Elephas maximus indicus: one gene and its partner. The protein of the gene in region 1 interacts with the protein of each later gene in a biochemical or structural test. Links are inferred from orthologs where the notes say so. Each region holds a gene or a part of one and is shown on either strand. Other genes may lie near its edges.

Region 1 (3,743 bases):
AAGTGACAGAGCTTCATACCGCTTGAGGCCAAACTTTGTGTGTACTTCTCTCCTCATTTGACACCCCCTCTCTTTCTCCCAAACAGAGCTCACAGGTGAGAGACATGAGCTTGGCAGGATCCCTTCCCACCCCAACAAGCAGTAAACTCCAAGGGGTGCTCAGCTTCATCACCCTCCCTAGAGAAGAAAGACACACGGAAGTATATTTCTGCAGAGCACTTTATAGACCAAATGTTAGACAAGACCTGGAGGATGGAAACCTGGGAAACTGAGTCACAGAAGAGCGTTTCCAGCCTCCCCTCACATACTGGCCTCAAGGTGAACACACCCTAAACAAAAAAACAAACCCAGTGCCATCAAGTTGATTCCGACTCATAGCGACCCTATAGGGGTCGCTATGAGTCTATGAGAACACACCCTAGAGCCTCTAAATGCCAGGTGTGCCCATTGTCCACTCTAGTCTAGAAAACTCAGTTTCTTCCAGGCTCAGGGTTAGAGAGTACCTTTATCAGAGGAGAATGAAAGAAATCCTCATTACCAGTCCCACCCTTCTGGGTCAGGTCAGTCTGTGGCCTCCGTCTTGGTTCCCCGGGGCACCAGGAAAATGGCCCCATCAGCAGCCTGTTGCAATGCATACTCCTCAGGGGAGTAGCTGTTGCCTGCTCCATCCCGCAGGTGCTGGAAAATGTCCTGATACAGCTGGGTCAGCTGTTGGCGCATGGCCTCCAGCGTCCGGTCTGCCTCCCCACGGGCCCGAAGAAGCCTCTCCCGCTCACTGCCCAGCCGCTCCAGTTCCCGCTCCAGCTGCACGATGGTCTCCAGCTTTCTCTTGCGGCAGTTTTGGGCGGCCACCTTGTTCTTGCCCCGCCGTCGGATGTCCCTGACTAGTGCCAGCTGGCTCTCAGTCAGTGGGTACCGTGCCAACAACTCATTAAAGTCATCTACCGGCAAGTTGACAATCTTGTCCGTGGGAAAGGGGATCTTCATGGCCAGGGCCCTACGCTCATCCCGGCTCCCTGCCTCTCCCCGTGCAGTAGGCTTGGCCCGCACAGGGCCTGAGGAGGGCTCTAAGGCCAGGGGGGTCTCAGTAGGTGGCAAGGAGTAATTGGGATGGGCCAAGGAGTTTGGCATAAGTGAGTAGGGGTACTCCACTGGGTACATCTCTACATAGTCGTTGCGCCGCCGTCCAGCCTCTGTCCCCTCCAGCTCAAGAGATTCAGCATCACTATAGTTGAGGGATAATCCCGAGTCTGATTCTGGGTCTTCTTGGGGCTTGGGAGTCCCCGCAGGCAGCCCAATGTCCAGGAGGGCCAAGGGGTCTGAGAGGGGTTCACTGAGCAGGCCTGAGAGGGTCAGTGGCTTGGAGACTGGTATGGCCATGTTGCCATAGGAGTATGGGGAATCTTGTACATGGGATGTGGGTGCTGGGAGCTCATAGGGTGGTGGAGGAAGGGGAAAGCCAGCATCGGGGTGAATTGAGCAGGGGCAGTAAGCTGGGGGTTGTGGGGGCCCAGGGTATGGGGCTGAGGCTGGGGACTCAAACGATGGCTCACTTGGAGTGTTTAGGCCCTGCAAAGAAAGACAAAGATGTTTGGAGACATGCTGAGGAAGAGATGCCAGCTCTTTCTCAGGCCCAGGCCGGGTCCTTCCGAAAGACCCAGTGAGACAGTAACAAGGGAACAGAAAGTTGCTAAAAATCATCAGAAGCTTCTTATAAATCTGTGATGCATCTGTTCCAAGAGGAAAGCAGCTTAAGAATGGAAGTCACTAAGGTCAGATTTCGGAAAGGACTACCTTACATTGGAACAATTATGGAATCTCCTCAGACATTCTTACTGGGTTAAAATGGCTCACGTTCTTTTGTTTCCTTCAGGAAGACAAGGAGCTGTTATCCAAGATGACCTCGCAGAACCTTGCTTGCAGGGAGTTATCCAGGGTCCAAGGGTCAAGTTCAGACCCTGGCCTTGCTCCAGGTGCCCAGCAGAGGGAGCTGCTGTGTGGGAGGAAGGCCTGGGGCAGATCCTGAGGATGCCAGGCAGTGATGGCAGGGGAAGGAAGGAGGGCGGGACAAAACCAGGGCTGGGAGCTAAGAAACACCCCGGTGAGCCAGCCCAGGCTCTGCCCTCTCCTCTCCAGGCTTTCTGTCCCTTCCTAGGTGCAGCAAAGAGGAGAGAACATTCTAGAAACAGGGCCCCCAACCCACTTCGGGGAAGCCACCCTGCTCCAGCCCAGCTGGGGACAAAGGCACCATTGTTCAGCCAACAGACACCCCTTTGTCCAACTAGCCAGAGGAGAGGACCCCAGCATAGTCTGACTACCCTTCCTGAGGCCCCTGAACTACTACTGCTCTGTTACCTGAGGGAAAGGGGCCTAGCTACTAAGGGCAGGGGGAGGAAAACAGGGAAGATGATGGGCAGCATAGGAGGAAAGAGAAGGTGAGAAGGGGAGGCTGGGGAAAGAGAAAGGAGGTGGGGCAGGAGGTGGGATAGAGTGATGTGAGCAGAGTGGCTGCGGAGAGAGCCTACCCCCTCAATCAGATCCTTCCCTCTTCACCACTCTTACCCCCTGCTTGATATTCTGGTCTCATTCAGATCTCCCTCAAACTCCAGCCCTTCCTTCTCCAGTGCCTGGAACATTTTCAGTTTGAGACCCTGGCCCTGCTCCCTTTAGCCCCTGCCTCAGTCCAGCCAGAGCCCTTGCTTCTCAGCAATTCTCCTCTACTGCCCCACCCTCACCCCTACTCACCTGCAGCTCAGTGATGGACATGATCTCTTGCCAAGTCAGTTCCATCTCGCCCAGATCCGGAGTAGGCAGCTGTGTCACCCTGTTCCTGCTGTGCTGGGGAGGACAAGGGGGCATCCTACTGGCCCAGGGCCTAGTTCAGGTTCCTCCAAAGCCCAAACGGCCCCCAGCAACCTGTGGCAAAGAAGAAAAGGTTAGGGTCTCCACTGCTAGCGGTCTGCACCTTTGTCCTCCCTCAATTGAGTGGTTACCTCCAACTTCACCTGAGGGAAGGAGAGAGCTTAGCCCCCTCCCTCACCTGTGCTGGACTCACCCAACCAACTCTTTAAGCTGAAAGGTCTTTTTCTGCGGTGGACTTCTACCACACTTGCTGTGGCCGCAGGCAGTTCCTTTGGGAACACAGTTGGACTTTGCCTTTTTTTTTTTTTTTTCAGACAAGATGCCTTCTCTTTTCCCTTAGTTCTTACTCCCCAAAATTGGCCAGGGGCAGAAGTCAGAACTTCCGGGTTTTTTTCTTTTTTTTTCTCCTGTCCTCTGGGACATCAGGGGAACACCCATGCTTTCCTCATCCCGTTTTAGAGTCTCTGCCTTTTCTTCCCAAGATGAAAGTGAGTGCTTGGGAATCCCCAATGGGCGTGTTGTGGGAAGAGTCAAGCAGACAGCCCTTCCCCCTCCCTGAGATAGGGCCCAGGCCTGGTGGCTGATAGCAGCCCTGCCTTCGCCTCCTATCCTGGTCCTGGGCTCCCCTGCCTGTGCCAGATAAGAGGTTTATCAGCTGCATGCAGCAGAGGAGGAATGGGCTCTGGAGACACTGGACCTCTGCCCCGTGTCCCCGCAGGGTCATCTTGACCATTCCCCAACCCACACAGCCAGGGGTCTTTCCTCTTCTGAGGTAATATAAAAAAAAAAAAACATAGCAAAGACTTATTAAGCACTTGTCAAGAATTGTGCTGGTGTTTTATAGGCCTTAGTTTATGAGATTGATTTTTACAAAGCTCATC
Region 2 (3,743 bases), on another chromosome or scaffold:
GAGAGGAAGAGGGAAGAAAGGGGGACAGGACTGCCGAGCTCACCACGTGCCTGGCGGCCCCTCGCTGACCCACCGGGGCGCGCACGTCCCTACGACCGGGCATCTGTCTTGGACTTGACTATCGTGATGACGCTGGTGGCAGCCACCTTGCCAGGGACAAGGGGCCCCAGGCCGCCAGTGAGGGGGCCCCGGGCCGGCGCCACCGGGCTGCGGGCCACGGTCCTGGCGAAGTTCTGCAGGGCCTCATACTTGGAGCGCAGGGCGTCAAGCTCTAGCTTCATGCTGGCATTCTCCGAGGCCAGCTTCTCCACCTCCTGCTGCAGCTCCGCCTTCTGCTTCTCCAGCTCCTCCTTCTGTGTCACCCGCTTCACGCGGCAGCTGGCCGCATAGCCACGATTCTTGAGTGTACGCCGGCGCTGCTTCAGCTGGATGATCTCCTCCTTGGAGAGGCCGCGCAGGTGCTGGTTCAGCTCCCGCACAGACATGGTCACCAGCTCCTCGTCCGTCAGGCTGGTGCCATTCTCGCCAGGCTCCCGCTTCACCTGTGGTGGACGGCACATGGTCAGGGCAGCACGCTCTGGCTGTGCCTTGCCCCGCTTCACCTGGGGCACTCCCTCAGGGTGGCACATTCCCATGGCACCCCACCCCAGGCGCTCCCACCCCGTCCCCCACTCACCTTCAAGGCCTTGCTTCCTTTACTGGGGGTCGTCATAACCCGGGGGCGCAGTGAGCAGACTCTCTCTGCAAGACACAAGGCAGAAGTCAGGGCCGGAGACCCCCCGTCAGCCTCCCATACCTGCCCATCCCACGCCAGCTCACCAGCCTGTTCCCCATTACCTGACCCCAGGACAGCCCGTCAGCAGGCCTCTCGGGGCAGGTGGGGCTGCTCTCTGTGCACCCTGCCTTTTGGGACTCAGGTGGTGGGGAGGGCCAAGAGGGTCTGTTAGGCAGGGGAACTGACAGCTGTGAGGGAGGCAGAGACCAGAAAAGGGGCAAGGGGAGATCAGAAGGACGACAATACAGGAGGGGCTGGCCCAGAAGGAAGCCACGACCTTTAAAAATAACCCTGCGTGCACGCCCCAGAGTGACTGTTCCCGGCGAGTCACGCTGACTCAGCATATCACCACTCCCGCCCAGCAGCACGGGCACTCTGGGGCCCTGCCAGCCAGCCCAGCCCCAGGGGACCTGTGGGAGCAGCCAGCAGGAAGGCCAGCAGGCCAGCAGCAGGTGAGGGCCGTGCAGCAACCCTGAGTACGCAAGTTCCGGGGTCCTCCCTCCAGCTGCCACTAGGACAAAGTCCCAGCTCCCAGGACGGCTGGGGGCTTGTCCCCACTGGGGACTCGGCAGAGAAGACCAGAGTCCCCCAGAGATCTAACTGTGCAGAGGTGGGGACAGGGCCACCCAACGAGTTCTGACCCTTTTCAGGTGCACCCTACCTTGTAGTAGCGCCCAACCCAAGGCCACTCCGGCCCTCTCTGTCTGCCTCTTCCGCTGATGGGGCAACTGGCCTCTGGGCTGAAGTTGCAGCATCCAGTACCCCTGCCCCACCCCATCGGGGATTTCACAAGGACCTGTACAGCAGCCACCAGGGCCCTGCTCAGTGGGCAGCCCCTCACCCTGGGGTCACTGACCACTCAGGCTGCCATCCCAGGTCAGTCCCCACAGAGCCAGGAAGCCAAGACAAAGAGCCACCCCATCCACACGGGGACCCTCCTGCCCCACCCTCAGGTGTTTGACTGATGCATGACCAGGGCATTTTTGCACAGCTACCCCTTCCAGACCCGTAAACCAGGACTTTCCTCCGTTCCTGCTCTGCCCCCCACTTTCCAGATTAGGCCCAGGGAGCTGTGGCTCAGGAGTGAAGGGTGCACCAGGAAACCAGAGCTTGAGGCAATGTGGGCTGTAGGCTTTCCTGCTTCCTCAGAGGAGCTAAGGTAGGGGTGACCCAGGGCTCTTGGTGGACACTCGATAGAGACCCCATCTCACATCTCATACCCAACTGCCCACCCACAGGTGAGAGTGGGGAGGAAAGGCCAGAGGTACTTCCATGGTCCAAGGATGGAGACTGAGGCTGAAGACCAGAAAGTCCTTGCCTGCACACCCTGGGAGCCTGGAGGAGTTCACCAGCCTTGCGCCTGAACAGGTGCAGGGATGCAGCCCTGGGTTTTTGCACAACCCAGGCAAAGGTGGCCCCAGGCGGCATTGGCACCAGCTTTTCCCACCCCCTCCCCCCCCCATTCAGCACAACGATGACTTCCTGAAGAGATCACACAGAAAAGTGCCGAGTGTGGCGGCTGGAGCGAGCAGAAAAGTGCCTCCTCGACAGATTTCACCCTCCACAAAAGGCCTGAACTCAGCACAAGCGCAGCCAGTTGCTCCTAATCAAAGGTGTGCTGTATGCGTGTATGCATGAGCACACGCAGTGTGCGCGGTCTCAGCAAAGCCAGGGTCTCTGGCCCTCTGGCCTCTGCCCACCCAGAAGACAGAGATAGCCTTGGGGATGGGCTGGGGGTTAGGACTCCAGGGCACCTCCAGAAACTAGAGGAAGGGGGTCCCAGAGGCAGATTAAGAAGGAGCTGCCCACCCCAGGCCTCCTCCACCCAGTCCTGAAGGCGGGTCATCCACTCACCTGCACAACTGAAAATCCTCCTCTTGACAAAAGACCAACCCTGCACCCTCCCAGAGGCTGAGCCCACCATGTGGAGAAGCTGTCCGAGGGTCCACCGAGGGCCCTGGGTCACCCACCAAATTGAGGATCAGGAAAGGGAAGTGGTCTGGACGGCATCCCCTTCCCCTTGTGCCCAACCCTACAGCCTGGACACGGCAGAAGCAGAGTTCATCCTGGCCTGCCAGCCCCAGTGGGCTAGGCACACCTGAGGACACTGTGGATGCCCCAGCCCAGCTCCCACCAGCCTTTCAGGCCCACCTCCTCCAGAGAGCCCTCAGCTAGGAAGGCACTCTGAGATGAGAGTCTAAACCTTCACTCAAGCACAAAGAAGTCCTAAGACAAAAACAACATCCTCCCGGAACCTGCATTTTCCTAAAGGATACAACTCCAGCAAAGGGTTCCCTGAAGTGTGAAAACATCTCTAAGCCCCAGGGGACCAAATGTGAGATTTGGGGGGTGTGGCACCCCTGAGGGCAAACCACAAGGCCAACCTGATGAATCCCTGAGCTCCAGGGCCAGGAACCACTCATACACCCCAAGAGAGCCAGCTCAGGCTATACCACGCTTGGGCTGTCACTTCCCAAGAGTGCCTGGCCACTAGGACCAAAATACCAACATCCACCAGGCCCCTTTTCCTTGCTGACTTCTCCAAACACAGCCTCAGGAAGGGACACCTTGAGGTCACGGGACACTGCATTCTCCCATCCCGCACTGTCCACACCAGGCAATCTGCTGTTCCCCAAGGCCAGGTGCACCAAGGCCAGGCACCCCCACAGCTTCCATCACCCCAAGCTGAGCATGGACACATGCACAGTAAGCTCAGTGGATCCCTCAGCCTTCTGGCTTCTAACTCCTGCTGCAACGTCCTGGTGGAGTGGCCCCTGTCACCAGTCCAGGAGCCCTGTCCTCTCTTCCTCCCACTGCCGCCCTCTCTGGCTTGGGGCTGCCCATCCTTCTCAGCCTGCCAGCACTGCCCCCCTAAGCTCCTCCCCTCCTCTCAGCTCACAGAACTAGTTCCCAGTTTGGGGAACTGCCTCAGAAAGGGTACCAGACCGCTGCCCGAGAAAAGCGTGTC

The links. The genes of interacting proteins can lie anywhere in the genome.
Region 2: the proteins of NFE2 (region 1) and MAFG form a complex in vitro, tested with the Homo sapiens proteins (2 studies listed by BioGRID and IntAct, with this or other methods). The link is inferred for Elephas maximus indicus from reciprocal best matches to the Homo sapiens genes NFE2 and MAFG.

The regions. Positions count from the first base shown.
Region 1 is NC_064822.1:109,787,781-109,791,523, forward strand, and holds NFE2 (transcription factor NF-E2 45 kDa subunit), read right to left. Parts: upstream 2,746-3,743; intron 1,994-2,745; 5' UTR 1,702-1,993; coding exon 562-1,701; 3' UTR 202-561; downstream 1-201. UniProt on the Homo sapiens protein: Component of the NF-E2 complex essential for regulating erythroid and megakaryocytic maturation and differentiation. Binds to the hypersensitive site 2 (HS2) of the beta-globin control region (LCR).
Region 2 is NC_064837.1:71,712,947-71,716,689, forward strand, and holds the start of MAFG (transcription factor MafG), read right to left. Parts: upstream 2,213-3,743; 5' UTR 1,531-2,212; coding exon 1,437-1,530; exon of another isoform or gene 820-1,436; intron 742-819; coding exon 677-741; intron 543-676; coding exon 90-542; 3' UTR 1-89. UniProt on the Homo sapiens protein: Since they lack a putative transactivation domain, the small Mafs behave as transcriptional repressors when they dimerize among themselves.